2 linked regions of the Lepisosteus oculatus genome follow. The protein of the gene in region 1 interacts with the protein of each later gene in a biochemical or structural test. Links are inferred from orthologs where the notes say so. Each region holds a gene or a part of one and is shown in the gene's direction. Other genes may lie near its edges. The genes, in order: ccne1 and arih1.

Evidence for each region.
Region 2: of the proteins of ccne1 (region 1) and arih1, one has a biochemical effect on the other in vitro, tested with the Homo sapiens proteins (3 studies listed by BioGRID). The link is inferred for Lepisosteus oculatus from reciprocal best matches to the Homo sapiens genes CCNE1 and ARIH1.

Annotation. Positions count from the first base shown.
Region 1 is NC_090715.1:5,976,087-5,991,974, reverse strand, and holds ccne1 (G1/S-specific cyclin-E1), read left to right. Parts: upstream 1-7,960; 5' UTR 7,961-8,335; intron 8,336-8,856; 5' UTR 8,857-8,895; coding exon 8,896-8,909; intron 8,910-9,054; coding exon 9,055-9,148; intron 9,149-9,229; coding exon 9,230-9,292; intron 9,293-9,843; coding exon 9,844-10,010; intron 10,011-10,103; coding exon 10,104-10,239; intron 10,240-10,684; coding exon 10,685-10,831; intron 10,832-10,972; coding exon 10,973-11,068; intron 11,069-11,418; coding exon 11,419-11,553; intron 11,554-12,320; coding exon 12,321-12,432; intron 12,433-12,978; coding exon 12,979-13,136; intron 13,137-13,282; coding exon 13,283-13,399; 3' UTR 13,400-13,947; downstream 13,948-15,888. Other genes in the region: uncharacterized protein F13E9.13, mitochondrial, read right to left, coding at 670-860, 5,318-5,445, 6,101-6,251, 6,494-6,674, 7,086-7,168, 7,261-7,333. UniProt on the Homo sapiens protein: Essential for the control of the cell cycle at the G1/S (start) transition.
Region 2 is NC_090700.1:59,708,293-59,724,928, forward strand, and holds the start of arih1 (E3 ubiquitin-protein ligase arih1), read left to right. Parts: upstream 1-10,519; 5' UTR 10,520-10,723; coding exon 10,724-11,008; intron 11,009-16,636. Other genes in the region: neogenin, read left to right, coding at 1,768-2,022, 2,491-2,627, 4,023-4,106. UniProt on the Homo sapiens protein: E3 ubiquitin-protein ligase, which catalyzes ubiquitination of target proteins together with ubiquitin-conjugating enzyme E2 UBE2L3.

The DNA of each region.
Region 1 (15,888 bases):
CAGGATTAACTGTAAATTTAAAACAAAATGGTACATATTTCAGTAGCAAATCACCACAGAATTGTTTCTGCATAAAGAAGGAAAAATCAGAGTTAAAATAGCAGAATAAATGCAAAATGTCTAATACATAATGCTGTGTATTTTTAGAAAATGCTGTTTTGTCTCATTATCTATAATTAATATCGGGAGTATCCACAGCTTTTATCAACACTGTTAATCCTACAAAATGTCTTGATTTGCAGTGGGTTATAAAGTCATAATTTCAGGGTGGTTATTTAAGTGTTAATTCACGTCTTAATGTTACGTCAGTCTCCATTAGCTGAACAAACCTTTGAGAAAAAAAACAGATCCACTACCTAGAAAACAAAAAGGAAGCATATCCACTACCTGCTGTAGTCTAACATTTTTGAATGCAACATAAAGCTTTGATATGAACAATGTTATGTAGATTGATTATGCAGATTTAAACATTATTAAATACATTCAGGTACTGAGAAGTTAGGATTAATGTATTGTGAAGAATGTTATCATTCCCTTCTATGAAATTAATTAAGAACCAACGGAAAGATTCAGACCAAGTGAGTGATTTATTATTAAACACTTTAGTCAAATACTCTGTATTTCTGTGCCAACACTGTGTCCTTTCGAACATCAATTTTTTTCAATTATTCATACTCTGAGTTTGTTCATCTTTCCCATGAATTTCCTGACCCTTTCTGGATCGACACTGTTGGCCCAAAATCCTCCTTTCTTAAAGTATGAGCCAATGATCATTGCACTTGCTTCAAGGTAGTGCTCCACATTCTCATGGGTCACCCCAGAGCCAATCAGAACTGGGATTCTTACTGCTCGTCTGACCTCTGCAAAATAAAGGGTGAGGTAGCTTTGTTATCTCTCTGGAGCACAAATAAATGGCATTGTTTCCATCTATACAGCACTTCATGGCCAATTACATTTGCCTATTGTGTTATCTTGCAATTAAATATCTTATTATTGCAATACTTTCCAATTCCACTTCTAATTTTCTTATTTCAAAGGCTTGAACTAATTAAACTAATTTCACCAGTTTCTGAAATGTTTTATCCCACTTGTTCTATTAGGTTAAATATAACAGCCTGGAGTAAATGCACTTGGACAGACAGAATAAGGAGCAAAGGTTGAATTTAAACCTAGTAAATTAAGACAAGCTTCACGGATGCCAGAGTGGTCAATTCAGAGTAAGCTTGTCTTTCAATCGCAGGATTCTGAATGAAGACTGACAGTTTAAAAAATGATTTTGCTACCGAGTGTCGGACACACAAAATCCATAATTTTACTTCTACCGTTGCACAACTTATACTTAAACAACAATGAGATGTATCTCATGAAACTGGCATTACGTGTGAAAATGAATATTGCCTGTGCCAGAAACCACACTTACAGTGCAGTATTAATTTCTCTATATTAATGGCCAGTACACAGCTATTTTTAGTCTTGAACACTTGAGCATAGTCTAAAGCAAAGATTACAAGGGAAGTGATACAAGTAATTAAAATATTCAAAGACACTGACTCTATGTGGAACTGCATTTAAAATCAAGAACAGGAGCCACTTCTTTACTCAAAGCATTTTGGTAGTATTGAAAAAGCTATCCAGACATTCCATTGAAGCTGGTACTCTGGCTTCTTTCAAGTAAAGGCTGGATACGTACCTTGGATCAGCCTTTACTTGAAAGAACCTTGTACTGGTTGTACAATGGACAAGATGGGCCTAATGCCTTCTCATCATGTCCTGTACAAACTCCTCATTTTAAGATATACATTTTACCTGGATGGGGCCTTTTAAATACATGACAAAAAAAATGATAATTTATCGAAGGGAAATTCTTAAACAATTTTGAAAACTGAAAATTTAATAGCCTTAACCCTGTTAACACCGTTACCACAATTTACCATCTGCAGCTTACATGTTTATTCAAATACAGTACAGAATACAAAATATGTTCAGAATACACTCACTAATTGGAAGATGGCACTGTGTAGTTTATATTAAAATCATATTTATACTGTAATGAACAAGAGAAATAACAAAAACAGCTGCTTGCCACTCAAATGAAGAAGCATTTGTGCTTGTTTTCGTTAATAAACTGGCACACGGAGGTCTCCTCTGAAATGCTCGGCAGCAGAGACATGCTGTAGGTAGGCAGAGTTCCAAGCAAGACGAAGGATAATGTGGCAGTCTGGGTCGGTCATGTTGTGTTTACCACCTTCAGCACAAATCAGCCATCTGGAACGTTATTTAAAAATAGACCAAAAGGTGGTGGCTATATTAGTAAAGCAAGCTTATGTCAGACAGAATGCATGCCCTTCACAAGAGATATCATTCAGGAGACTGGAATGCATTCGTTCCCAGGCGGCCCTGCTCTTTATAAGGCGTACAGATCCCACAGGCACCAGTAGCATTTAATATGATTTAACCTCTGAACCAGGGCAAACCTGATCACAATAATAAAACAGACTAGGAAATCCTCCATGAAGCAGACAAAAAAGGCTTTCCTTTGCATAGCACTAACAAAGATCAATTCATGTAAATTGATCTGTCAATTCTTACCAATATTATATAAGATTTTTAATCCATCTATGTCTAAAAAGGGAGCCAGTCAGTGTACATGTAATGAGAAGCATACATAATAAATAATGGTAAATACAAAGGCAGATAAAATATACTTTGTGACCTTTTCCCATAGCCTGCTGCAAGAAGTGTGAACAAACTCATTATACCAATTGTATTTGACTATTTATTATTACAAATAAATGAAGCTGTACTTTACAATATTTAGCAATGGAGATACTAAGAAGATCCATTTTCTGTTTTTCTTGTATTTTATTTATAGCTGCTAGTTATGAAATATGTTCGGTTACTCACGCAGTGATGTGGAAAAAAAAAGTACACCCCCTTACAGTTCTCTTTATATATTAAGACATAACTGACTTTCACCTAGTCCTCACAAAGTCCTGAAAGTAGATAAATCTAACCCCATGTGACAGATAACAGAAATTTGATTTTGTCATTATTTATTAAACAAAACAATCAGCCAACATTCAGTAGCCATGTGTGAAAAGGTTTGTACACCATGTGATTCATTAATGTATGGAACCACCTTTAACAACAATTACTTGAAGTAAATGTTTCCTGTAAGAGTTTATCCGTCTCTCACATCAACTGAAATAAATTATGGTGCACTCCTCCTTACAAAACTGCTTCAGATCGGTGATGTTGGAGGGCATGTGTTTATGCACAGCTCTCTTTAAGTCCCGCCACAGCATCTCAATGACGTTGAGGTCCTGATTCTTTTCATTTTCAGTAAAAGATTTACTGGTGCATTTTAGATCATTGTCCTGTTGCATAGTCCACTTTTGGATAAGCATAAGCTGTTGGATAGATGGTCTTACATTGTCCTCTAGAATGCGCTGGTATAGAGAGGAATTCATGGTGGACTCAATGACTGTGAGGTGTCCAGGACCTACAGCTGCAAAGCAGGCCCAGATCATCACCATGCTTGACTGTGGGTATGAGGTTCTTGTGGCGATACGTAGTGTTTGGTTTTCGCCAAACGTCATTTTGCATTACGGCCAAACTCCACTTGGGTTATGTCTGTCTAGAGGACATTGTTCCAGAAGTCTTATAGTTCATTCAGGTGCTGTTTTGCAAACATAAGCCATCAGCAGTGTTCTTTTTTAGATAGAAGGGGCTTTCTCCTGGCTATCCTTCCATGAAATCCGTTCTTGTTCTACATTTTCCTAAAGGTAGAATCATAAACTCTAATGTTTACCGTATTGAGAGGCCAGTTGTTCCCTGGATGTAGCTTTGGGGTTCTTTCCGATTTCTAGGAGCCTCATGTGGTCTGATCTTGGTGTGAATTTACTGGGACACCCACTCCTGGACAACAGTCTTAAACTTTCTCCATTTGTAAATTATTGTTCTCACTGAGGAATGGTGGACTTCATATTGTTTGGAAATGGCTTTATAACCCTTCCCAGACTGATAAACAGCAACAATTCTCTCTCTGAGGCCATCACAGATATCTTTTGACCCAGGCATTATATGCTACCACAAACCTGAATGCTCCAGATTAAACTTTTGTTTAAAAAAATAATAAAGTTTCTGACTTTATATACGGAGGAAGTGCTTTCTGATGATAAGCTAATCATGTGTACTTGTTTAGTAGCACCTTATTTTAATTATCTCCTTAACTGGCATGGAAGCAGTAAAGGTGCACGTACGTTTTCCACAAGTTATCTGTCATATGACATTAGATTGATCTACTGTTAGGACTTGGTGAGGTCTAGGTGAAGGTCAGATATGTCTGAATATGTAAAACCATAGAATCTTAAGAGGGTGTACTTTCTTTTTCACATCACTGACTAGTTGTTAGTAAACTGACACCTCATCTTCTGAGAGGACTTTTCCCCAAACTGAATGGGACAAAGTTAAATGAAGGAATGTATGAATTCCATGACAACATTATGGTCAGCACCGCCACTCCAGGAAATGAGCAAACTGTCCACTTAGATCCTGCAGCAGGCACCGTCGAGGTGTCGCTCTCTCTCGCCCAGGAGGGCTTCACAGGGCGGGGAAGTCTGACCTTCCAAGGCAGGACAGGAAACTCCAAACCAGGGTGATCCAGTCGGAGGGCTCTCCAGGAGACGGGCTGATTCAGGGGACACACGCCCTTAAAAAGGGGGGATCTCCTCCAAACACCAGGCCAGGCAGAGTCTCCTGGCAAACTGTCATCTGGGGAAGAGCCCGGAAGTGGACGGGACCAGTTTCCCAGGTGCCATATGGACCGGGCCAGCAGAGGCATATGCTAAGGTCGGGTCCCTGCTAAAGACTCAACCCCCAGTTCCAGTGCTCCAGGCAGCACAGCCGTGGGCAAAAGACGGAGCTCAGGCAGAGCCTGAGGAAACTGGGAAGAAGGAATAGGAAGGGCTCCGTTGGGAAACTGGAACGGTGGTTTAAAAGTGAGGTATAAACGTCAATGGCGAATCGCAGAGGAGAGACTGAATACAGTTTAAATACCTGCTGCAGTTTACCTCTCACTGAAGCAGGTATTCCTGCTCTGCATCAGTCTCTCTACGGCGATCAAGGCAGATCGAAGGCATAGCAGCCTACCACTGAGCTGCGACACGAGCATAACAAACAAAACATAACATTAACAGAAGACAACATTCAACCCACGACACTTATTGTGGCTGTCAGAAGTCTATTGATCATATCAAATCAAGGAATGGGCTTCAGGAGGCCCTGCCACTTGGGATAACTTTTGAGCAGGACTCACCTCTGAGGTCTTCAGGGTCGGCTTGTATACCTGTGGCTGTTCCAGTCAGGATGACGCCATCAGAGAGGAAGAACTCAGCAGCTTTGGCCGTTTCAGCCACACTGACATCAGACGTCAGGGCATGAGAGCTGAAATTAAATTATACTATTTAATAACATATGAGTTGCTACAACTTCTAAATTTGGCACCTCTTATGTCTACATAAGTATTTATCCATCCATCCATACATTATCTAACTGTTTTCATCCAATGCTGGGTCACAGGGATGCCAGAGCCTATCCCAGCATGCAAGGGGTGCAAGACGGGAAACGCCCCACCCTGGTTGGGTTGCCAGTCCATTACAGGGCAAACAGGCACAAACACACACACTGACAACAAGGCCAAATTCCTAAGAAACTAGTTTACCTTCTAGTATGATTCTAGACTAAGGGAGTCAACTGTGACACCAGGAGAAAACCCACACAAACAGGGGAGGAACATGACAAAAATCCACACAGATAGCAGCCCAGGTCCAGAATTGAACCCAGGGCACCAGCACTGAGAAGCAACAATGCAAACCACTGTACCCTGCTGCCCTAAGTATTTATTTTTAACATTATAAGAATTACTACACAGCAAAGTACCCTTGAAGAAAACTGTTTTTTTCACTGAACAAGCATAGTGCATCTTGGGGCATTCACAGTAGTACTATTTAAATTGGAAGTGTAACACAACTGAATACTTTTCTATAACTATGAGGTCATGAGTAAAACGCTTTGTGCAGTCAGTGGACAGTTATCTTACCTGTGTTTTTTCTTTATATCAGTGAAAATTTGGATGTGCTCAGCTCCTATTTGTTTGCGGTACCTTAACAGGTCACCAGCACATGCGTTTAAAAGTCCTTCATCTGCTACATGTGAGAAGACAAATCCTTCTGCGCGTATGAAATCAAGGCCTTATCAAGAAGAAAAAAAGAAACACTCACTCGGATGTGTTCTTTGTAGACACTATTTAAAATAACACTAAAGTTGTGTAATCAGCAACAGTTCACTAAAGTGTAAGCTACTCATATTTAGTTTGCAAAAAACAACAGTAAGATTACATTATATCAAGAATTTCCAGCGTTGCAATCCACACCTGAAAATTCCCTCAAGTCTCATGCAAGGTAAAAAACATTAAGCAGTTAAATAACATTACCTGATGCCAGAGCTACTGCTAAAGCTTCCCGGTTAGCTGCAGTTAGGATCTGGGCTCCAATGGGAAGGGTTGGACATGTCTGCCTCACTGCAGTACAGACTGCTGTCATAGTAGCATAGACCTCTGGTCCAGCAGTTGTTGTATAGGGAAGATCATGCATGTTTTCAATAATGAGTCCATCCTGTGAAATGCACAATTTCACTGTCATTGTTATTTAAATGCTATGGCCTAGTTAGGGCCTTTGTCTCGTAATTATAAACCGTATCCACAGTATGCAACACTGTGCCCATTAAAGCTCTTGTTTGGAGAGAAAACTCTCGTCACCCTGCTAAAGCACCGAATAAAAATAAATTGCATTTGAGCAGTTTTAAACTCCACTTTGTCATCCTACACAAGGAGTCAATCTTTCAGAAGGAACTAGAACAACTTGTTGGTAATCTAACTGCAATATCTAACTGCGATTGAATTAGTGTAGGACTAACTCTGCAGTCACTGCATTGTACTCAAATGTACCCCCAATCGCAGCCTCCACTATACCAAACAATCTCGACAGATAAAGCGACCAAAGTAAATCTTACATAACGATTCTTACAATGCCTGCATCGCTGTACAGCTCTGCTTCACGACATGCTGCTTCTGTTATTTCAGCAACTGCAAGATTGTTCAGCGGAGTACCTGAAAAATCAAGTTACACGATACCACAAATCAGTCTCCTTACATTTTAAACATCTACACCTGATGCAAAAAAAACAAGTTACAGTTTTAACCTGGTAGAGCCTTTACGTGAACCATGCCGATGACAATGGATTTTAAGCGTCCAAAAAGATTTAAAAACTTCATGTTTGACTTATTTTTGGTCAAACTTTGTTTTCTGTCACGTGACGGGTCAAAGTTTATGCGCCTCGTATTTTATTCAAATTAAGTGCAGTGCAATATTAGCGTGCAAAAACGAATAAATAAAAATACAAACTACACGATAGCATGCAAAATACACCCCTTTATAAAACAATTTTTGAAACCTATTATAAACTTTTGGCTATACAGTAGTGTTGTTTTATCGAGCGGTCAAATACAGTAAGGGCGCCACCTAATCCATCGTCACTTGGCTTGCACCCACTGCGCGGCACACAAGACTCCCCCCAGTTTTTGGCCTAATTCTCCCTCTCTCCGTCATGACAACCCGGACGATCGAACAAAGACGACAGGGGGCCCCGAAACGGATCACACCCCGCATCCAGCTCCACAGACCTCCGTGTATTTTCGAAGCTGGCTCGATTTGTTTACATCTTGCCGCGCCGAGCCATGCGGCGCTTTCCCGCAGTTCCGCATCGGGACTCCACCCCGCCCGGAGCGGTCCCCGCCTCCTCCCCCGCCATCCCGCCCCCTTTTCATTTTTGCCGGCGAAATAAATCATAAAAATAAACGCAGCTCGCCTAATAAATTGTTGGGGTTCGGGGCTTGAGTATTTTTTGGCGGCTCGACGTCAGAGAGCCGGACCGCGGCGGACGAGGGTACAGCCTGTGCCAGGTGGCGGGGTCGGCGTTGCGCGCCAGGTTTTTAAATGACCCGCTCAGCCACCCCCTTCTCCCGGCAGACAGGCGAGAGCAGCAGCTTATAAGCTCAGGCGCAAAACGCATCGCGCCAGCTCAGGACAGGCAGCTACCCAAGAGGAACACGTCTGAAGCGGGTAGCCTAAAAACAAAGGGCCAGAATTAAACCACTTCGATGAAACGCCACGAAAAATGATTAGCGTTTCTCAATGAACTGAGAGCAATAGTTGGATTCTTTTCCCCCCATTATTTTACTTTAAATACCCCATATTAAGAAGGGGGCATCTTTAAGGTAAGAACTGAATCATGGGAAGTCGATAGCACCGGTACAGAGTTTTTAAAGTTTGTTTTTAGAAGTTGTATTTTTCATAACAGCTGATCTAAAGTGGATGTTCCGAAGCTTGAGGTTGTATATTGTACATAAAGCGGTGAAAATTGGGTGTAGCTTGTTAAAAAAAGGATAGAGAGCGCGTTTTTAAAAACGAGGGATTTCCTAAATAGCTCGGCCATTTTATGTCTGGTTGAGCCAAGCGACCACGGAATCAAGAGTATTTTTATACTTTTTACAATTACTGTAAGCCATCCGATCTTTCAGGATTCAAAATATGATTTTTCAGCTTTCGATGTGTGTAAAAATGTAACCATTGCGTAGTTAAATCGAATTGTTCTTGTTACCTAAACGTTGTGCCCCTCTTCCATTCCCCGCGCTAAAGAAACTTGGCGTCTGAGCTTTTGTGAATGAGGTTTTGTGGGGGGTTGGGAGTAAGTTTCAGAACATTTTATATTCAGTTTTAACCAATTTTGTCTTTTCAGAGTGGCATTCTCGGCTTAACGAATTCCCCAAAGGATATCATGCCAAGAAAAAAGTAAGATTTTATTTGTTTTGGGCATTATTATACAACGATTAAAACGTCTATGTCCTAATGATATAGGGAGCAGTGTGTTCCAACAGTCGATATGGATTAAAATGTAATGCATTGGTATACAAATATTATTTTAATTATTTTTCAGCCTGAAGACCGGGCTGCAGACGGAGGCAAACGATGAAGTAACCAAAGAGAGGAGCACAACGCGTTCCAGGAAAAGGAAGGCAGACGTTGCAATTGTAAGTGGAACTGCACCCAGAGATCCCTGCGTTTCATTTAGTGATGTTAAGACTTATCTAAGTTTTTTTTTTATTTATCAGCATTTGCAGGATCCAGATGAAGAGGTCATCGAAATGACAAACAAGAAACAGTATGACACCCAGGTACTGTATGCATAGTCATTTTATGTGTTGGGTACATTGGTATTGGGCCCAGGCTAGCATACATTATTTTTCCTGATTTGTTTCAAAATGTAGTCTTTTTTAAAAAAAAAAGGTTTGTCTTAAAAGTTTTAGTTCTTTATAGCCCTTTTTGATATAATCCCAAGGTGAAATCATTTCAAGGGTGTTCTTTATTGCACTTTTAATAAGTGCTGCATTGTGAAATGTACTCTTTTTTTTCCAGAGGTGGTTAGTATTAATTCTGATATTCATTCAGCTCTTCTCTCCCATGTCCCCCCTCCAAAAAGAACATGCATAAGTCCTAAAGATAAATGTGTGCTCTGGTGGCAAAGCTAAAATATTTATGAAATGATTCAAAGGAGATGCTAAAAAATAGGTTCCCTCCATTCCTTGTCAATGTCGGATGAGAGCTGTGTGAAGTTGGCATTTTTTCTTGCTTAGTTAAAAGAAACAGCAGGCTAAAGGGGGTTTATTTGAGTATTGTATTCTTTTTTTCACTTATTGATCTGCCTTTTTTTCTTTTCTCTCCTCAGACTAGTTGGAATCCTGCCACAGGTTGCACAAGTCCATGCAGGCTGATTTGCACACCTGACAAAGAAGTAGATGAACCAGTTGCATTGAATGATGTCGGCTGTGCACAATATATGTTTAAAAATATCTTCATCACTCCTACAAGATCCTCCCCTCTCCCTGTCCTCTGGTGCGTCTCCATCCTGTAGTTCTTTTTTGTGTAGTTTGTAAATATTTTTTGTGTGGAGTAATTGGACAATTCTTATTTTTTTTTTCTATTCAGCTGGGCTAACAAAGATGATGTTTGGAATAACCTTCTACAGAAAGACAAAGTATATGTGCGTGACAATCGCTTTATGGAGAGGCATCCACACTTGCAACCAAAAATGAGAGCCATACTTCTTGATTGGCTAATGGAGGTGAATAAATTGATTTTTCTCTAGATTTTAAAGTCCTTGCGTTGAATATCCAAAGTGCCTGCACTTGCATTTGTTCATACAGCTGCATGTTTTACTGAAGTAATAGAGGTGACATGCCTTGCTCAGTGTTACAACTGCAGTTTCTCACCTGGTATTTAAACCCAAAACCATCCAGTTACAAGTCCAGAACCATAATTGTGGCTGCCTATTAATTTGGGTGGGGAGTAATGAGGTGAAACGTGTTTTGTCTTCAGAGATTACTATTATCAGGTATCGTGATGTGATTATAGTTCTGGACCTTACCTAGCCCTTAGATTGACTAGCTTTTTTTAAAACAGTTGATGCGAGATCATACAAAGGATAAATGTGAATTGGGCTTTTGAGTTCTTAACTAAGCCTAAGTGAAAATAGAGGTATTTAACTTTTGTCTTCCCTCATTCTACAGGTATGTGAGGTATACAAGCTACACAGAGAGACCTTTTACTTGGCACAAGACTTCTTTGACCGTTTTATGGCAACACAAATGAACGTTGTAAAAACAAGACTGCAACTTATTGGCATTTCCTCACTGTTTATTGCTGCAAAGCTGGAGGTAATTTTTTATGTTGGCATTTTGTAGTTTGTGCTCTTGTACATCTATTTCTGTCTTCACACTTCCTTCTCATGGTGACGTCTAATGATCTTCAGTGGTTACGAAAGGCATGTGATTTTTTTTCCCCAACTTTCCCTGTAGGAAATCTACCCTCCTAAACTGCACCAGTTTGCCTACGTTACTGATGGCGCTTGTACAGAGGATGAAATTCTGGATATGGAGCTGATTATAATGAAGGTACTTGAGCTGTAAGAATTTATTGCATATTTAATAAACAGCCACTCAATTTAAAATGATAGCAAGTCCCAGTTTTTCTGGCAGCACCTGTCCTGCGTGCGCGTGGAGAATTAGGGCCTGCAGATATTCTTTTCCGACGTGCCCACCTGTTGGGGGCCATTCATCTTTTGTGTTCTGATAAAGCCACTCCAGAGCCCTTTTCTTTCCTTGAGAGGAGGAAAATAAGCAAAAATTAACACTTTTAGATTAATGCTATCCTCTTGAATAGTCACTTTTTGCATTGCCTTTTTTTTCCAAAGAATATTTGAAATGTAGTTTGTTCTCACACTGACTGGTCCTTCGTTTTTCAGGAGCTGAAGTGGAGTTTGAGCCCTTTGACAGCCATGTCCTGGCTCAACATATATATGCAAGTAGCATATTTAAAGGAAAGCAGCGAGATGTTAATTCCACAATATCCCCAAACAACATTTGTACAAATTGCAGAGGTAAGATTTTAAATATGGGTATGAAAAATCCTCCTCACTTTCTAGTATGGGAGTGGGGGGGTCATTGCTGCTTTGCTCTATTTTCATAATCTAGTTCTTGGTTTTAAAGCAACATTTGCACCCTTTTACAAAGAGGAGGTCTGAGGTTCATAAAATACTTTTTCCCACGTGATCATGAGTATATGATGCCTTTCTCTGTTAACTGTCCATTAAGGGAGAACTGTAATACAGGTACATCAATGACATTAGCATGGGCAGTACTCCCTGTGCTCATGTTGGGTGCCCAGGAGAAGGATTCATCTTTTGTGATTCAAATTTGTTACCATAAATTTGAAAGGATCCAAATGAGAGGTGGTCATTCAGCACGCATAGACTGTTTGAGAGTTAATTCAAGGATTTCATCCAGCCGTTTCTTGAAAGAAGCCATGGTATCGGCCGCAACAATGCAGATGGGTAGCTTTTTCAACACTTCCACAGGCCTTTGTGCCTCCTGCTCTTGGTTGTAAACTCGTTTCCACTTGTGGCCTCGGGGCTGGTGAAAACGAACCAGTAGACTTCTTCATGCTTGATTTGTTGGTCTCTTGGAGGATTTAATATAATATTGGGACCTACCGGAATGTACCTCGTCACCTGCCACTGGCTGAGATAGAATTAATGGAATTTGTTTCCAGCTTTAACATCAGATGAATTATTTTCACACCCAAAGTAAATGCAGTAAAATTTTGCCTTGATTTCTTTTGCCAAGATTTTCCCTTGGTTTTTTTTAGCTGTTGGACCTGTGTGCACTGGATGTCCGATGCCTGGAGTTCTCGTATGGGGTGCTGGCTGCATCTGCCTTGTTTCACTTCTCTTCAGTTGAACTAGTGCAGAAGGTTTCAGGTACAGAAACTGAATTAATTTGCTGAATAAATGTGCTCACAGTGTAGCACTGTGGTGGGAGGCCAGAGTATTTACTACCACACCTTTTGGGTTCTGGGTCTTATTCTGGCGTGGAGATTTGCAAATTATCTCTCTGGCTATGTGGTTTTTGCTCCGCTTTCCTGCTACAATGATGTCAAGGTTCTGTACATATATGTAATGGTGCACTAAGCATTTACAGATGTAACATCCGTTTAATGAAAATTAGATTAGAATTCTCCTATCAGGGAACATCTTGTCTTTTGGTGTAATAGTTCATCACTGTCTAGGTTGTGGGACGGTGTGTGTTCAGAGCTTGTGAAAGACAATGTTCTAATTCTGGCAGGGACAGAGCACAGCTCCACATGGCTTATTTGAGCTCTGTCAAAGACTGCCATTCTGTCTTGGGTATATCTTGCCTCACAACCTTTGTCTGCTGGGTTAGGCTCATCACAGCCATGCATTGGGACTAAGTGCTTATTAAAAATGGGTGGCTTATTGGTTAATGACATTCTTTTTTCCTTGCAGGTTACCAGTTGCAAGACCTCGAGCCGTGTGTGAAGTGGATGGTTCCCTTTGCTATGTCCATTAGGGAAGTGGGCAGCTCGGAACTGAAGAAGTTCAAAGGAATAGCAGCAGATGACCTGCACAACATCCAGACACATGCTGCTTTTCTGGAGTGGCTGGTAAGCTCCCACAGAAATATTTTCACAGATACATACTAATAGTTGCAGACCTACAAATCTTCAGACCAGTCATTGCTAAAACCCACCATTGGATTATCTGCTTTTAGACGGCCCACTTACTTGGGTTTTACCTTTCTCATTTTCAGGAGAAAGCGTATGCTTACGAGGCTATGGGTTTGGATCAGAACCAGCGGTCTCCAGTGCCTTTGAGTGTTCTTACCCCACCTCCAAGCAGTGAGAAGACGGGGGTTTCTGAATCCTGAGTCATCAAGGATCTTGAGTTGATGAATGAGGAAGATAAATTCACTGAGCAACGTTCCTGGAGAGATGTAATGATTTCAGGCATTACTGAAAAACTCATTTTAATGTCTGCTTGAGCATGGGCACAGGTTTGTGTGTGAAGTTAAAAAGGCCCTTTTTAGTCTCAAGTGGAATTTTTAAAATCGGCATTTTAATGGACGTGGTACCAGGTTAACCACCTGACAAATATTTAGAGCTACACTTCTTGCTCTGATTGCTGCTAGAGAAGGTGGGACTTGGACCGTTCGGTGATTTTGACAGACTTTTTTTGCATGGCCCATACTGTTTTTCACTGCTTGATTGGGTCCATTGGGACCAAATGTGCCATTCAGGGGACCAGAGGAAAAACCAGCTTGATAAGCAAAATGCATTGAAATTGTAAGGTATTATGCCTCTTATTTGTAATTTTTCAGAGTATCGGTTTACCAAATTTTTTTTAACAATGAAATGCTGCTACCTTGTATATCACTTTTAAATAAAGGTGCTGTCTCAGACAGTTTTATATTGTGAACTCTTTGAATTTGATTTGTTCATTGTGACACTCCTGTATTTCTCATCTTCTAGACTTTATGACTTCAATGCCAAAATGTTTTAAATTTATTGCAAATATGGGAATGGAGAAGGTCAGGGTTTTGCACTGCATGAATACGGTTATCTTCATTACACAGTGAAGGCACTGCACTCTCTCTCTCGCCTCCCCAGCTCACTGGGGCTGGTAGCTGAAGATTGATAAGGAAGGGGAAGGTTTCATGTACTGGCCTCCCACTGATAATGCTCTTGCACTTTCTAACAATGGCATGGTAGTCTTGTCATCTTGAATGTAGAGTACTCTGCATTCCCTTCAGCCCTTTTATTTTCCTTGGTCAGTGTTGTCATCCTGAAGCCCTCTTGAGACAGCTTTTCAGTGGATTCCCACTAGTGTTGGCTTTTTTTTTTATATAACTGGATATGTACAAAACATGAGCTTCTGTGGAAGGGGCAGGTACCTCTACCAGAGTATTTTAATTTCTGGTTTTAAGAGAAAATAGTTCTGATGTAGAAAGTGGCATCACTACAGACCAAGAAAAATATTTGATTTTTTTTTTTATTTTAAAGCAGAGGTTGTATGGGGAGCTATGCCAAAGTTTGGGCTGCAATAAATGAAGTTCGAGCTATTCTGAAAAAGCAAAAGTAGAGCCTTCCTCAGCTCCCTAGCCTAACTGGATAATTTACTTTCTTTCATACTTTGAAAGGGAATTAACCTTTGCCTGTTCCACAACTAAAGTGGCCCTGTACATTTCATAAAGTCTTTATTTCAAGCTTCTTGAAGATGCACAAAGATATCTAGATAATTAAAGTATATTTCCTTAATGAAAATCTAATTTGATATAAAAATACAGGGAAGTACAAAAAAGCTTTAAAATATGACCTGTGAGGGGAATTAAAATGGTGTATTTTCTCCTCTATAATGGCTGTCTATAACACAGTGCCCTCTGGATGCTGTAGGTTCTCGGATAGCACAAACATTACAGTGATCCACTAGATGTCACCAGTTGCGTGGCTTAAAGATGTGCATATTTATAAGGCTCCCGGCATGCAAGTAAGTATGATTTCCTTAACAGATGCTCCTGAGACAAGGGTAATTCATTACATTAAACTTTGGCTAACACAGCCGTTTCATAATTTGGCTAGCTCCTACATTTTGTCGCTGAAATTCTGCTGTTTACAAGCTGCCATCAGCCGTCATCTAAGGTGTTTTTCAAATGAATATTTTAATTGATTTCTTCCATTTCTCAATATTTCAAATACTGCATAGCCTTGTAAGGAATAAAGGAAGTTTGAGGATTTTAAGGTTTTTCATTTTGCAATATTCCAAAAATTCATGACAGAGCTACTTAGATGGTGAAGGTTTCATGATTACAATATGATGAGCAGTTATTGTAAAATCGCATATTTAATTACAATTAATTTTTCTGTATGTGTCAAGAGTACCACAATACCTGAAAATAATGTGAGTGATAACCAAACTTTTAAAGTAAATCATATATTTATATACCGGAATATTACAGTGCTTAATGTTGTTGCTGATAATATATATTATGGGTTTAAAGTCTTTCCACATCACTCTATTTAATTCAATGCTGAAATTATGCAGCACAATGTCTTTTAAGCAGCCTATTCGCCTATCAGTGTGAGGAGGCTCCCCCGTCAGCCCTGCTCCTGGAGCTGTGAGGCCCCAGTCAGGCAGCAGCAGCATGACAGCTGTTGTGTGTTCAATAGCTCCTTTGTTCTCTGCGCAGACTGTGCTGGCAGCAGCAGGTGCCCATTGGGCTGGAGCACAACCAGCCACCATTAGCTACACCTGATCAAATGAAGACCCAACAACTGCTATGCAAATCACCTGAATATGGCCAGACAAAAGAGTCAGCTACAAAATTCTGAAATAGCCATTTTATACTGTGGTGCGATTTCC
Region 2 (16,636 bases), on another chromosome or scaffold:
GGTATCTAATTATTTATTATAGTATTATATTTTTAGAGTAATGCAATGTGAATATTTTAAAATGTTGTGGTTAAGGCTTTCATTGAAATAGGTTTCTGTAATCATTGTTTACTTCAGGACATTGTCCATATAAATAAAAAACATTAAAATAGATCAAACTAAATAAATATATGCATGTGTGTAGCTTATGAAACATGTTCTAATGAGGCCGGCACAGTGAGCATGGAGTAGGAGACGTTCTATATATTTCTAAACGGATATATAGCTTTCAGTTTAATTAAAAGATTTGTGCAAAAAAACATTTCTTCTGAAATCTTTTCAGTAAGAACTTGTCTAACTTAGACCACTGTGCATTTAAACATGATCGCAAGAGGAGCTGCTAGAGGAAATCAATGTAGATTGAAAAGCACTGCAGTCAGCTGTACATTAATTCTTTAATTTTGCTGAAACAAGCATGCTTGTTATCTGTTCAAGTTGGTTGCCAGGTTCCCTGTTTTAACAGGCTTTCAGTTTTTGTTTTTCCTCCATTGGCTCTGCGATACTCTGCTTGTATTTGGAAACAAACACTTTTCTTTCCACATGGCCAGTCAACCCTGACAGAGACGAGTTTCCCATTTCTCATCCTCTGCCATGAAAGATGTGTTAGCTTGACAGGCGATATTGCCTCACGCACCTTCTAAAGTGCAGTTAAATGGGTTGGCCGTTTGTTTTTCATTTCCACTACAAATAACTAATGGTGAGACAGCTCTCGTTGAATCACAGCTGACTTTGTTACAGTAATGGAGATGATTTGGGTCGAATGGGAATGTTGTTTCTTATTTGTGTTAAATGGAATGAATGGCTGTAATGGAGAAAAAAAAATTGAAAACATTTTTCTGTTTGCTGTAAAAACTGAAACATCAGAGGGAAAAAAGCATGAGAAAAATGCCTAACTGAGCTGTTTGCCGAGTCTGGTGTGCAGAGTCCTACTTTCTGCTGTTTGAAAAATCACAGAAGCACTTTCAGGAGTCTCTCAATAAGCATAAATTGGCATTTTTTTAACATAATAGGTCAAATTTATTCAGTTGAGAAGGTAAATAAAAAAAGCACAACTAGCATGGCTAGTTATGTGAAGTGGAAGTAAAAGTGTACATTCCAAGTCTGCCGATTATCATATATTATAGATACCACATATTACAGATATTTTTTAATATTGACATTTTATCTTCAGGCATATTAAAGTATTACTTTAACACAATTGAATATATTAGATGATTCGATGCCCATCTCAGTCCCCCGATCTAAATAAATCACCAGGCACTCAATGGGATAAGTCAGGCGAGACCATCAGCAAAGCCAAAGAATTGTAGAACTTGGACTGAGTCAATGATGAAGAATGTAATTGCCCCATTGTAACAGAAAATGCCATGGCTTAAAACAGTAAAAAAAAATTAAGGTCCTCACATTATCGAAGTTGTCTGCAAAGTAATTCTTGATGACAAGCGAGTTGTTTTTGATTAATGAAATTCTGAATACCATTATGAATCATTGACTTTTTAATGCATTGGTATATTAAAATGAGACATTTTGCAAACAAGAGGGGGGCAGAATCACCTAAACTGATCAAATAGGTCTTTAAGCAGTTGCTGAAGGCAGGAGGGAGATGTGCCTTAGTAGAGTGGATTTCTCCAAGTTCTTCCGATGACGACTGGCAGTCGTGTACGACAGAGCCCGAACGAGCGGTGACCGGCGGCGGGGGGCGTGATGGCTGCGTGCCTGTGTTTGCAGAATCGGTGAGGAACACGCCCAGCGCTGACCCCTTGCCCGTCCCAGTGCAGCCGGCTTGCGCCGTGGACCACCCCGAGCCGGACAGCGGCGCCAGCTTCCTGAGCTCCGCCCCCGAGGAGGAGAGCTACAACCCGCCCACCGCGCACGTGCGGCCCACCCACCCCCTGAAGAGCTTCGCCGTGCCCGCTGTGCCCACCCCGGGCACCTCCTTCGAGTCCCCCGCCCTACCCAGCACCCCACTGCTCACCCAGACAGGTGGGGGCCCCGGGACATCACGCCTCTCAGACTGGGGGGGTATGACGCAGCGGGTCAGGGCACCGCGCGGTTTGGGCTTAAGAACTGGTTCTGCTCCTGCTGTACCTATCTTTCTCCCTGTCCTTGAATTTCAGAGACAGTATTTCTAATTCCACTTGTCTAAACTGAGCCATTGTCACTTGCTACACTTCAGACATTTGACTTGCTTTAACGATATTATATAGAAAATTAAGGCCAAAGTTGGTAGCTGGGCATGTGTGTGGGCATGCAGTCAGCCTTTGAACACAAGAAAGGTTACAAACGAGAGCACCTGTCGGACCTGTTTTGACCTGTTAATTGATTCCAACCTCCTCCAGCCCTTTCTAAAAAACTGGGATCGGTATCCTATGCCACATTTGCACTGTCCTATTCCGACCACAAGTCTGTCATTGTGCCACTCCAGCTGCTCAGTTTCTCCTCCTGTTCTAGGGCCAGCTTCCCAGGTGCACTCAGTGAAGACAGCCTCCATTGGCACACTGGGCAGGACGCGCTCACCAATGCCTGTCATAGTGCCCAGTGCCCCTGACGTGCCAGAGACCAGCAAAATGCTGGAGGATGTTGAGAGCGTGAGTACAGTCCGTAAATATGATTTCTTTTTGTTATATACATTCTGATGCACTGCCTGGAGAGGGGCACAGCCTGGAACTGGACTGTAGGTAAGTACTGTGTAAGTGCAGAGCTAGCAGCAATCAGGATTTATGCACTCTCTAGCAAGTTGATTTGGTTAGTTGATTATGTATTAAACAATACAAACATGGCAGTTTAGCCAAATATTTTTATTTTAAAATAATTTGGTCCTTACTCCTGCATTTTAATGAATCTGGTTATTTGTTCTGGCAGAGTGTTTCTGCATTTTGTCCCAGTACTTACTGATCAACCAATTACTAGTTAGTCAATAAAGACCACCTCCAAATTTCCCCATTTCAGCACCGTCACTTGTTCTACTCTCCTCTTTATATCAATCTCTGTTTGTCAGTTATTTTTAGATTATAATTTGCAGATGTTGCTATGGGAACAAACGGATTAATCCAGAGGTGTGAAACTCATTTCCTGCAGGTCCCAGTGTCTTGTGGTTTTTGTTCCACCTGAGCTCTGTTACCTGGTTGATCAAAATGTTTAATTCACTTCATAATTTTAAAGGTACCTTTTAATGAAGTAAATGTTTAGAGTGCACAGGAGCTCAAAACAAAATATTTTACGTGCCTAGCTAAGAAAATAATTAGGTAATTGCTTAATTGACTAAAGAGTTGGAGCAAAACGCAGAAGACACTAAGCCTTCCATGAACCGAGTTTGAGACCCATGAGTTAAACTGAGTTGAGCAGGTTATTTCAGTCTTAAACCTCCAGCTAGCTAAAGCTTGTCAACAAACACGCTGTCCATGTGCCACATTCTGAATTATTTTGAATTCTTTTAGTTTTGGAAAGGTTGCAGGGTAGTGTTGTATTTTTAAACAGTTTCTTACAGTCTACTGCATCTCTACTATCAGGCATATGATTTAGGCTTAGTTGCAGTTTGTTCCTTACCAGTAAATGTAATTTTGTTTTGCTTTGTAGGTGTAAGTTTTATTTTTGGAAATGGCTGTTAGACTTTTTTCCACCAAAGAAGTCAAGACTCAGTTTTGGTTCTAATTATTTTTTTTTATTTTTATCTCCCTTCTCTTCTTCTCTGTCTGTTTTTGTTCCTCCCCTCTTGTTTTTTCTCTGCTCATTTCTTCAATCACCATCGGCTGCCTTCTTGTCGGTCTCCGTTTCCCTTTTTTTAATACCTCGTTTGACTTGTGTTTTGTTGTTTTGCTTTCTGCGCATCTTTGTAACATCACGCTTCCTGATGCTGTGGCAATGGTCGCCTCTGGCTGTGTTAATGTTCCCGCCTTTTTTAAATTCTGTATTGGCCTTGCGCTGCAGTCCCATTGACCAACTCCACCCCCATCCCCGGCAGTAACCCTGTTCCTTTCCTTTAGAACTACGAGGCGGATGAACTGTCCGAGGAAATGGCCCACCTAGAGGGTTTGATGAAGGACCTCAATGCCATCACCACAGCCTGAGCGAAATGGAATGTCTCAATATTCCCTGAATGGAGCAGAAAAAAAGGATTTGCAAAACTTCAAAAAATAAAAAAAACTGAAACTCTTGGCTCACCTCACTTACTCTCAGGAAGGAGATGGCCGTTTTAAAAGAGACAGCTCACGTTTTTAAGAAGAACAAAGATTTTCAGTACAAACAGCAATTAGCTGATGGAAGTTTCATTTTTATCAGCGGAAACGGGCTTTTTTTTTCCTTCGGTTACCATGGAGACCGTTATTCGGACAGACACCATTTTGTAACTCTAAGAAAAAGGAAAAAATAAAGAAGTATGCCGGTTTTTGTCTTGGTGCTCTTGGGCACAGGTCTACAGTGTTTGGACATTGCGTTAGTGTGTCATTGTGCGTTTTCATGAATCACCCTTTTCATATGAGGTGGACACGGGACATCCCTCGCTCTTTATTTCCATTTTGTATCCAGCGTTCAGAGCGAATGATGTGCCCGTTTCCCTGTTCTGTGTTATATATTGTGCCACATTACTATTATTTTCTATTATTGTTTCTTTTTATTTTTTATATATATATAGTTTATATATATAAACTGCCTCATTCTCTCTCCATCGTTGACGTGTTCCTGGATGTGAGCGTGAAACACTAAGATATCTCGTAGCTCATGAAGCTTCTGTCCAGTGGGGGAATGTTGTGTATTTTTAATTTTATTCTATTTTATTTGCATTGTTATGTCAAGAAACTATTTCCCTCCCCCCATTGTAAATTAGATCTGTTTTGTATGGGAGTCCCCATTCAAAGACTTATCTCCATGGTCCTGACTTGTCATTCTTATTATTTCATGAAGAGCAACAGCCTTCAGTAGCTTTGTACAGTAATTTCAAGAACTGCGATTCCATTTAATTCATTTCTAAAGCTAACTTTTGTTCTGAAGGTGATATTGATCATTTCAGTTAATTATGGATGCTGTTATACCCTAGGGCAGTATTAGCCTCTAGTTTTGCCTGGGGTCTCCCTCTTCTTTTGTTCATATCAACCTTTCCTCATTTAAAAAAAAAAAGCACTGGTCCCTAAAATCTATGGGTGGGGTACCCCAATTTCAAGGCATCCTGGGTCAGCAGATCTTCCAAAGGGTCAGCAAGTGCTCATAAGGGCCAGACTGCTTACTGGAGGAGAGTGTTGACTGACATTCGAATGCTTCTAATTTGGGAAGAGGAAGATTTGTGGAACTGGTCTGGAGAAGAGCTGTGTAATGTAGATGACAGTAGGTGTTGATTGTGAGGCCAAGGAGAGAATTGACTTGAAAAATCACAGACCCGGAGAGTCAGCTTTCCTTCAGGAGGAACAAAGCGTGTGTTCCACTAAAGCAGGAGAGATCTTTCCTGAGTCAGCACTAGCTGGAAAGTGTCCTAGATAACATCAGTTATAGAACACACTTTCTTTTGTTTTCAGATACCTGTGACCCATTCCAAAACTGGAAGAACTCAGGACACAAACCTTTTCAATAATTTCTAACATTTATGGGGAAGGCAGTAATTTACTAATTTGGAACTGCTATTTTTTAATAAAAAAATGCAAAGGGTGTTGCCTTTTGAATGGGACTTCCAGACAATGGTTTTTCGGCTTCATTTGCTTTTTATATGAAGAAACACAATTAGTTCTGTAAACAACTGAAATGTAAAATAATTCGTGTTCATGTTTTAAACTTGTTTTCCTCCACCCTTCTACCCAAAGAATGTCATTGAAATCATAATACTAGTCTACTTTTGTGAATATCATGTTTCTCATAATGTACATCCTCATGAATGTTAATATAACTGTAAGAAAATTTACTTATGGATACAAAATGTTAGAAATGTTGTTCAAAGCTGAGCAAAAAAAAAAAGAAAAGGACCCGTCGGGGAATTGAACTATTAAGTTGTAGACAGTCAAACCTGTATTGCACTTTTTTCACAATTTTCAAAAAACATTTTCTTACATATCCTGTGTTTTAAATATAAAGCTATGTTTTGTGTACCTGTAGTGTCATAGGTTAGCAGTTGGCAGCTGTTATTTTTTTTTATTTTTGCCTCTGAAATGAATTGGAGCTGCAAGTTTTATTAAGATGTAGGAGATGAGAAGAACCCTACTGTTGCTTCTTTCTGTACAAAGACCTTTGCTTTCTGTAGAATAATCTGTGGCTTTTTTAAAAAACAAAACGGGAAAAAGCAAAAAAAAAACTTCCATGTTCTTATTTTGTATTGGTGCTCCAATACATTTTATATCCAACCATTACGAGTCAAAAAATACAGTTTGTTGTGTATATTTTACATCTACTTTGGATACTTGGATTAATTTTTCTTTCTTTGTTACTAAATCTTTTTAAAAAAAGGCAAACTTTCCAGCTGGCCTTTCTAGAAGTCATGGTTTCTGGTGAAACTACTCCTGGTTACTGTAGCTCCTGCCACCCACACAGCAGAGTCAAAACTCTTAGGAAATGCAAATATGATCATTCCTATATCCTGTGTGTACCTTCCTGAAGAGTTCTCAAATCACAAAGCATATGAGAATAAATCACTTAACATACGTAAGCCATCCCAAGGGTATCACTTTAGAGAGAAGATCTGAGACTGTAGTTCTGGTTTTTTAAGAGATTCCCCAGATTACTTTGAGAGGCTGATTTCCTTTAGCAGCATCCAGTTTCTTTTTCGGAAGCTGTTACTCCTGTCATAATAGCCAACAACAATCCGGGACAGCTCGGCAATAAGCAAGACGCAAAGAAAACACAATGGGTGTGGAATGGAAATGAATTAGCTGGGAACAGCAAATGATGTCACCTGCCCCCCATTGTATCTCTGCACACAACACACTGTGAGGCACCCACTGCGTGTTGTTTTGGGGATATTGCTGGTTTGAGAGTTCTCCCCGTGGCGAGATGGCCAGTGGCTGTCGTGATCAGTGACACCAGGAGGAAAAGCTTTGGCCATGCGTGGTGGAAGAGGGGGTGGGAGAGGAGTCAGCAGAGGGGGTCTCTCCATCGAGGTGAAATTTATGAGACTAGAAATGTGTCAACAACAGGAAGAGACGGCCCAAGCTGAGCTACGTCCTGCGGCATTCCAAGTGCAGTGCCAAACAAGTTTTTTGGAGGAGAAAGAAATATCTGAAAAGAGGTTTGAGAAGGTAAGGTGAAACGGTAATGTGGATGATTCTGATGAAGGAGAAATTAGGGGGCACAAGGGGCTGTTAGAAAAATCGGAAAATTAATTGAACTGCAAGCCAAGTTACAGATGATCAACAGCCTTGTTCGCATTTACATATAGTAATCCTGAGGAAAGGGCTGTGAAGGGTGTACTCGTTTCCTATTATACTCGTATCCTATACTTCCTATTGATTCTTCATGTCAAACAAAATCCCTCTCGGATCCCAAGCGGGCAGCGTGGGACAGGGTTTGCTTCATCCTGGGCCATTTGACACTGGGTTATAGAGCAATGAGAACCTCTTACACATAGCTCACCTTTTTGTTACACAATATAAGGTATTTACGTCAAAACTCGCATCAAAATCATGCTTTGAAATAAATTCATCCAGAGTTTAAGCCAAACCAGGGTGAAGCCCCGTTGAATATTGTCAGGGAGTCGGCTCCTACTGGGTGCTTGTTGATGTACTTTATTTTTATATTTTTCAGTAATCCTGAACACAAACAGCTAAGGCAGCGTGTTCTTTTTATGAGACAATGACAAGATTCTGGCCATAGGGTGGTGGTGTCTGCATTAAATAAGGAAAGTGCTGGACAAAGGAAATGATGGTTTACAAACAAAACTTAATGAGAGAAAAATATATATTTCTATTTGACAGTTTAGTGTAGGCTTTCTCTTCTGCAGAGCTTGGACTCCTTATCCATAAGTCCTATTATGCTGGATAAATGATCCCCTCATATGAAGTTCCTCTGGTGTAAATGTGGCTTACTGCTGCACTGCATATCAATGTTTCATCATTAACCATAAGGTTACTGTCAAGGCTAATATAGGACTTTACAAGTCATTTACTATTCCCCCTGGGAAATGTAAGCAGAACTGAACTGAAAGATAATGGGCTGTTATAGGTCTCCAATGTTTCTCTCTCCACAAAAGATATGCCATAAAAATAACTAGCTATTCTGCAGATTTATGTTTGTAATAAAGTTTCATACATAATAAAAGATGAAAGTCATAATAGAGAACAATGATTATGCAATCATACAACATGCATATTTGTTAATGCAAACTAAAATTACATCGTGAAATGATATTTCCTGTAACACAGAGGAAATATATCTCGTTAGTAACTGACTTGATGAGTGCGAGTAGGCAGCGTGTTCTGATTCATTAAAGTATGTCTAATACTGTTTGACACTTTACCATCAAAGTTATTTTCTTGCTAGTGTAAAAATATGTATTTCCTATTTTAGCTTTAGAGTGTGGAACTGAATCATTGTATTACATGTCAAATATAATATTAGAGAGGACGACACCGGGGCGCAGTGTTGGGGCCCTGGGTTTCATCCCAGACTTGGGGTGCTATCTGCCCGGGGTTTCTATGTTCTTCCTGTGTTTGTCGGTTTCCTCTGGGTGCTCTGCTTTCCTCCCACCGTGCAAAAACATACTTGTAGTTAATTAGTGTGTGGGAAAAATGGGCCGCAGTGTGAGTGTATGTCTGTGCATTTCCTGATGCGATGAACTGTTGTCCCATCCAGAGCTAATCCCTTCTTGTTCCTGTTGCTTGCCAGGATAGGCTCTGGCTCCACCGTGACCCTGTAATGGATCAAGCAGTTAGAAAATGGATGATTCAATACAACTGTTTACTGCATAAAAGTATAAATTTTTGGTTTACGTCTGAGCATTCGTGTTGGAATACAAAAAAAGGCCGGTATCCACCATCCCCAATGAACATGAATAAACAGTGCGTTTTTAAAAACAATGGCATATCCCTCTGAACGCCAATAGAGGAAATGCCAGCACAGGCCTTGTGAAACAATGTCTGTCTGTCTCTTGGCCAGGTCGCCAAACTAAATGACAATTTGATCTCAACTACGTAACTTGTGTATTGAAATAAAAGATTCCTAGGCTGTGTGTTCTTTCTTTGCTCTTTAAACCACCCCAATGGTGTAACGTGCCTTGTAGACATAGAACGAGGCTTGACTTGCAAGCCCAGTATAAAGTATCGAAATCAATACACAAATGACTTTATCTATCTTGAATTAAGAGAGAAAATATGTCATTCTGGCAGTATTTCGTAAATGATCAAACAGATGTTTATCAGATTTTTTACGTGATTTCAAATGAAAGAGCCAAAAATATCACCTAGGGTAATGTATAAAGAAATAACAGAACTCGGAGGAGCACCGCAGTTTAAAATTTACCACACCTGACTGAAATCCCTACAAAAACAGAATGTTAAAAAGGTCTAAGCCAGTTTAATCACTCATCAGAGACACCTATGGAATGACCCAAAAGCAGTCCTAAACGAACCAGAATAGAAATAACAGCGAAATATGCACTCGACAATAAATCATTTGTTACTCTTACTAGGGCAGTGTCAAGGGTCCCTGGCGTGAATCCCAGACTGAAACTTTTCAAAATTATTCTTATATACTCGGGAATTCTTTCGCTTTAAACCTTGCCATTTCAATCACCTATAGCTAGAAAAGAAAGATTTGTAATGCGTTGTAAGAAATCTAAAATTACTTTAAAAACAATCTCAACTGGGATCTTCAAGAAGGGCGAATATAAAGGAGGCTACAACTGTTCCAGTGAGCTATTTATGTTTGCAAGAATATTGTTACCCAGGTGACTAAGGACATCCTTAAGAAATCTTGTTAAAATTTAATCTAATTTAAACTGATTGTGTAGCAACTAAATAAAATTATTCTATTAATGTTTGAGCTATAGACTGGATTTTTCTCCCTGTTTGCGTTTTGTTTTAAGACACTATGCACATTATTTACAACTCCTCTGGTCTACTTTTATATGCGTCTCCACGCATAGCAGATTTCTTCCTGGTCTTTTACATCTTTATAGATGCCACCCGGGTTCTTAATTCTTCAAAAACATCGAGGAAAACACATGAGCCCGTAAAATGGGGAGCAAGCGCCAGTGCACTCTTGGGAGAAATGGGAGATCTGATAAAAAAAAAAAGTGTGAATCTAGACGAACAAAAATACTAAATGAATTTGTGATTAATCCGTCCAATGAAAGTCCTTCGTCAATGTGCTTTTCCACCTTTTCACAGCCTTCCCGTCTTTTGCCACACTCAATATGGCTAGGATTGCATTTCGAAATCTCCAACATGGCGGTTATCCCTGACCAACATACACTTTTCTATATGTATATATATATTTTTTTTATTCTTTCAACTGACTTTATTTACACTCAACAAAAAAAGCAGGCAGGTCCTCTCGGCCGCTCTGTGACGCGCTGTCGACGTCAGTTCGTGACGCCGCGTCCCTTTGTTGGCTCAGCAGTGGCGGCGCTTGTGTTGTTATTTTCTCTGCGGCTGAAATTTTTTAAGTCTGTATGAATTTTTTCCTGGTGCCGTTGTGTCTCACGTTGTAAATAATATCTCTGTCGAGCCCCCTTTGGACCTTTCGCTTGTCTCAACCCGGCGTGAACATAGTAATGGACTCGGACGAGGGTTACAATTATGAGTACGACGACGAGGAGGAGGAATGCAGCGAAGACAGCGCCGAAGAGGAGCCCGAAGACGACACCCTGGAGCTCGGGGAGGTGGAGCTGGTCGATCCCGCGGAGGCCGGCGGCGAGCGGGACGTGTGCGGGGAGACCGGGGGCAGCGGCCTGGGGCCGGGCCAAGACGAGGAGGACTACCGCTTCGAGGTGCTGACCGCCGAGCAGATCCTCCAGCACATGGTGGAGTGCATTAGGGAGGTCAACGAGGTCATCCAGGTGAGGTGTTTCGAGGCGAGCCGGCTGCAGGAAAGGCCGGGGATGCGGGGAAAGCGGTAGGCCGGAGATGGCCGGATGAGACGGCAGCAGTTAGCTTGGGTCTGTTTGCAGGTGGGGAGGGACTGCGACAGAGCACGGCCCCCCCACTGGAATAGCATTGCGCGAAGGCCTGTTTGGAAACGGTTAGTTTAAAGGGGGGGTGAACCAAAATAAAAAAGCGTGGGGTTTTCAGAGTAAGTAGGGTAACTTTTATCAGGGCGGTGCTCATTCCCAGACGAGAGCTTACTTATCTCGCCGTAGAAGGCGGGCGACAACGGGGGTTTTCGGGGACGGGGGTTTATTTTTGCCGGTTCGGGATATCGGCGTGAAAAGAGGGTAAGAGGGGGTTTTCACTGATGCTGTCCACCTGCATGATGATTATTCTCCTTAGGCCCGACAACAACATGGCGGAGAGCTGCTGCCTCTCCTGTTGATAAAGAACTCGGCTGAGAGTGTTGACAATGTATAGTTTAATTCGAAACTGTCAGCCCTGTTTGCAGCCCTGTTTTAATGAGATGGGGGCTCGTTTTCAGTGGACGGTAGTGACGGCAGCGGGTGGGAAAGTCGTTCAGACGGCGGTCCCATTTTACAGTTCCGTGCCGCACAGCGCCTGCTTAGCCAAATAAAACTTATGCTAAGCAAACACCGCTCGACTTTAAGGTCCTTGTCTGGTGGCCGTACGGTCATATTGGTCGAGGATTGTTAAAGCGACTTCTTTTATTAAGGAAAGGTGCTGACTCGGGGATTTCATTTGATCCCGGGCCAGAAAGCCCTTTCCTCCTCTGGTACAATTTAAGCGGCGGCTGTACTGATTTTCTGGGATTGACCACAAGGAAGACCGTTGTTGCTGAAGTTTTGTTCAAATTATTTATCGTCATTTTTTTCCTCCATATTTTAGTAAAGCATGTAGGCTCCGGCAGTATGCAGGCACTATGCACAATGCGGCCAGGAATCAAGATTACCTAAAGTGCAAAAGAATGAAATATATGTTCACTAAAAGGGTTGTTCATTTTACCCTTTAGTTATTTTATCAGGATCAAGTAATATGCATCTTAATTGTTCCTAAGTCCTGAAATATGTAAAAAAAAAATCAACCTTTAGCTTTCTGGACAATACATTTCCATAGTAAATCTGTAGTCTGTAGCCAGCAGCCATATCGCCCTGCAACTCACAACTGGCAGCCCACTGAAGCTCAGCAGGTGTGAGCCTGGTCAGTACCTGGATGGGAAGACCTCCTGGGAAAAACTAAGGCTGCTGCTGGAAGAGGTGTTAGTGGAGCCAGCAGGGGGCGCTCACCCTGCGGTCCATGTGGGTCCTAATGCCCCAGTATAGTGACTGGGACACTGTACTGTAAACGGGTGCCGTCCTTCAGATAAGATGTAAAACCGAGGTCCTGACTTGACTCTCTGTGGTCATTAAAACTCCCAGGGCGTTTCTCGAAAAGAGTAGGGGTGTAACCCCGGTGTCCTGGCCAAATTTCCCATTGGCCCTTACCAGTCATGCCCTCCTAATAATCCCCATCTATGAATTGGCTTCATTACTCTGCTCTCCTCCCCACTGAGAGCTGGTGTGTGGGGAGAGTACTGGCGCACTATGGCTGCCGTTGCATCATCCAGTTGGGGCTGCACACTGGTGGTGGTGGTGGAGGGGATCCCCATTACCTGTAAAGAGCTTTGAGTGGGGTGTCCAGAAAAGCGCTATATAAGCGTAAGCAATTATTATTATTATTATCTGAAAGTTGAGATGTCTTATTATGGTCAAGTGGACCAGTCTAAAACAAATCATTTTTCTGACTAATGCATCTTCTTTACAGAAATACGTTTAGAAAATTCCATCCTGTAAAGCTTGAATGTACATTTTTAAAATTACATTTTAGTCAGAAAAATATTTAGAAGTTTTAAATACCCTTTTTACACCTACATCCTTTGACAATCATCTGGTTTATGAGTTACCTGCTGTTGTATGAGCAGCAGCCACTTATGAATGATTAATAATAATAATCATTGCATACACTTATATAGCGCTTTTCTGGACACTCCACTCAAAGTGATTTACAGGTAATGGGGATCCCCTCCACCACCCCCAGTGTGCAGCCCCAACTGGATTTGTTTTTTGCTTCGACAGCTACTCTGTAAAGAGTTTAAATCTGAAAATAATGGCTTAAAGTATTCATGATGGAATGGATTATAATTCCAGTTTCAGATTTCAGATTAAAGTCCTGTTTCAGTTTTTTAAACTCAACAGGAGACAAACCGATGAGCAGATGCACACATGCTGCCAACTAAGCCACACTGTGCCCTTTATACCATCAGAATTCAGCAAAGTTCTCTAGGGGCAGAGCTTTACTATAATCTGTAGTTATATACTGCTTTATTTCCAGCGCGTTCAAGTTCCAGTATTCATATAAATTTGTTTGTTCATTGCAGAAGCTTTGACTCAAGATAACTCTCACGCTGTACACTGTGTAAAGCTAGCCTTTTTTCTTTTATTTGTTTCATTTTAAAGCTAGTTTGGTGTGCAGATTGTTTTTCTAACGTGTTTGTCATTTAGAAGACTTATTCATAAAGGAATCGCAGTGTGCACCCAGCATATATTGATAGCATTTTCAGTGTTTAGAAATGCAGGACTTCTTTTCATTCCATGTGCCCAGGCGGTTTGGTTCTGCTCTCCGTTGTTCTGGTGATGTGGCTTTTAATATTTCTAAATGATCTTTTGCATGACCCTTGGGCTCTGGTGGAGACAGGAATAAAAGGTATCTTACCTCCGTTTAATAAGCTTCAGGTGATGAATGTCCACAAAAGTGGAGCTACTGAGGGGGAAAGGCTGGTATAGTCTGTTATCCATGCGAGTATTGGATTCATTAGACGCATTGCCATCTTATAGTTTGTTTGTAATCTGTAGCAGCCCTGTAAGTAAACATTTTTTTCCTGTTCAAGAATTAACTGCTTTATGCTATCAAAATTAGAAAAACATTGACCGTGTTGTAGAGGTGGAAAAATAATTTAACAAAAGTACAATTAAGTTGTTTTTTAAAATATGCTTTGTCACTTACAACTGTAAATCAGACCTCCTTTGTAATACTGTCCTGTATTAATAAGTTTTGGCTTCCACACCCTTGGCACAGACATGGGGCCTCAGAGAGAAGGGATTGTGAATTTTGAGTGGGTGTTGACGAGCAAACATCTTCTCTTCCCTGCCATGGCATGTAGGGATAGGGTATAGTAAACACTCCCTGTTTTGTATGGGGAAGTAAATGGAGGAGGCCCTCTGGAACTCAGCAGGTGGTTCAAATTCACTTTGCCTGTCTTTAAATGCAGGAATTGCACCTAGTTCTGTTTTTGAAAGTCTTTAAATGTGCCTGCCAAGAATAGTTAGTAGTTGACAAACAAGGCTTTTGTGCAAGGTTTCAAATATCATGTATTTTTCCTTTTTTGACTTTTTTTTGCTAACTTTTATTGATTTTTTTTTTTCATTCGTTTGAAGTATTTTTTTTCACGTTCTGTTGTGCTGCCAAGGGGTTTGAGCAGAGCTGCAGAAATTAAACTTCTTAGAGCTAGACTACAACTTAAATGTTTTAACAAGACTGTTGGCATCAATGAGCTAAACACATGGAAAAGGTGACTCATTTGTGAGAATCCCTTAGGATAAGGTTACAGTCAGGCCAAAGAACGGATTGGAATAGTTCCAAAAGGTATTTTGTGCTATTCACCTTTTTTTAATGATCTTGACGTATTCTGCACACATTTTAGTAGGGTGCATATATTTGAGTGATAGTAGCACCTGCAGTAAAGTGCTAGATTGGAGCAGCTGTGGAATTCCCTTTTGTTCCTTTGTGTTAGGGATGCTGTCTTTAGATTGTATGTATTAGTGCTGGCTTCCTGGCACATACTCTCCCCTGCAGTTAGTGTAAAAGAAAACATACCTGAAGCTGTGACCCTGTTTCATGTCCTCATTTGACTTTATGACCTGCTTTATTTTTTTGTCAGATTCCTTTTTCTTTATTGATAATTGCTGCAATTGCATGTGGTGCTGCTGCGAGTGATGAATGTCTGTGGCATTACGAAATGGTTGTCCTTAAATCTAAATATAGTACTTGGTATATCCCAAGGTCCTGTTTGTTACGTCTCACTGTCACATCTGTGCAAAAGGGTTTTCTACACCGTGCACCTAGAACCCCACAGGTGTCTTGCTGGTGTTTGGTGTTTTAAGGCGCTAGAGAGAAGGTCAGAAGTTGACACTGCCCGTCATCCACTTTACCATCAGCTGGAAGAGGTGTTTACTGTATCAACAATTGTCTAATCCAGCTAATGGCAATCTTCTTAGTTTAACAGAAAAACGAATCCATTGAACGATAACCTTTCAGATTTTTGGTTTAATTTTTCTTTCATAGATAAAGATTGTTCTGTAAATATAATTTTAAGACGTCATACAAGGTTAAGATATTAGGCTGCCACTTGGTGTTATGGTTATCTTGGCAGCCTCAGCTCTTGAGACCTTGGTTAATGTCTGGATTTGTTACCTTTTCTATAGAGTTTACATGTTCTCCATGCGTTAACATGGATTTTCACCAGTTCCAGTGGCTTTTTCCCATCTTCAGAATAAATGATGGGTAGCTTGATAGGTTTTTTCACATTTTCCTTGTGTGTGTGTCCAATGATACTTAGTATCTGTTAGCAACAGATAGCATCCTGTTCAGGGTATAATCCTGCATACCAGGGTAGTCTGTTTTGGAATGGAATGAACAGCTTTTTCAAACTATTTGAATGGATGTTAAGGTTTTCAGCAGTGTACCCTGACAAGGAATGCAATGTGTGTTAAAATAGTAAATGAAAATTCCCAGTCTTTCTAATGTCAGCGTGCAGCATCTTAAAAAAAAATGAAATGTGAATAGTATCCATCTTTGCATAATTTAGAAAGCAAAATCCATTTGTTCCTTCTGTTTAAGCAACGTTTAACAGTCGAAAGCTGTAGATAGTAATACAAAATGTCATATGATATTGTACTCCCAACATTTCATAAAATTACCAGCCCTGTGGCTTTTTTGCAAGAAGGTGTCGTCTAAATCTTTTATTATTCTTAAACATAAATCCACTATGCTCTCTTTGTGTAGTACACTATCAACTGTTGAGGTGTCTTTGTTGTCTCTATAGTTACATTTTTGGAGGCTGACTGTCATTTATTGGGTTGAAATGGATTTCTGCCTAGAAGTTGGCAAGCTTTTAGGGATCGTTATGGTTTTGATCTTATACAAAGATCTGCTAAAAACAGCCTTTTATCATACAGTATTGTCTGAATTGTTAAATATTGCCCTCTTTTCACATGATTTATTCTCTTGAAATAAAAATCCCGAAAGAATGTTGCAAGTTAATTTCTTTATGTATATTTTCAAATGATCATCACATGCTCTCTTGTTTTTAATGGGAGATGCTAACAGTTGGCTTGATGTGACCTCAGCTAATGAATGTAATTGGATGATTCAATACTCCTTTCCTTCTGATTTGGAATTTGTACTGACAATTTTCCTCTATTTTAGCAGTCCCTAATATTTTTTGCTTTGGATACAATGGATAAATTCTGCTAAAGGGGAAT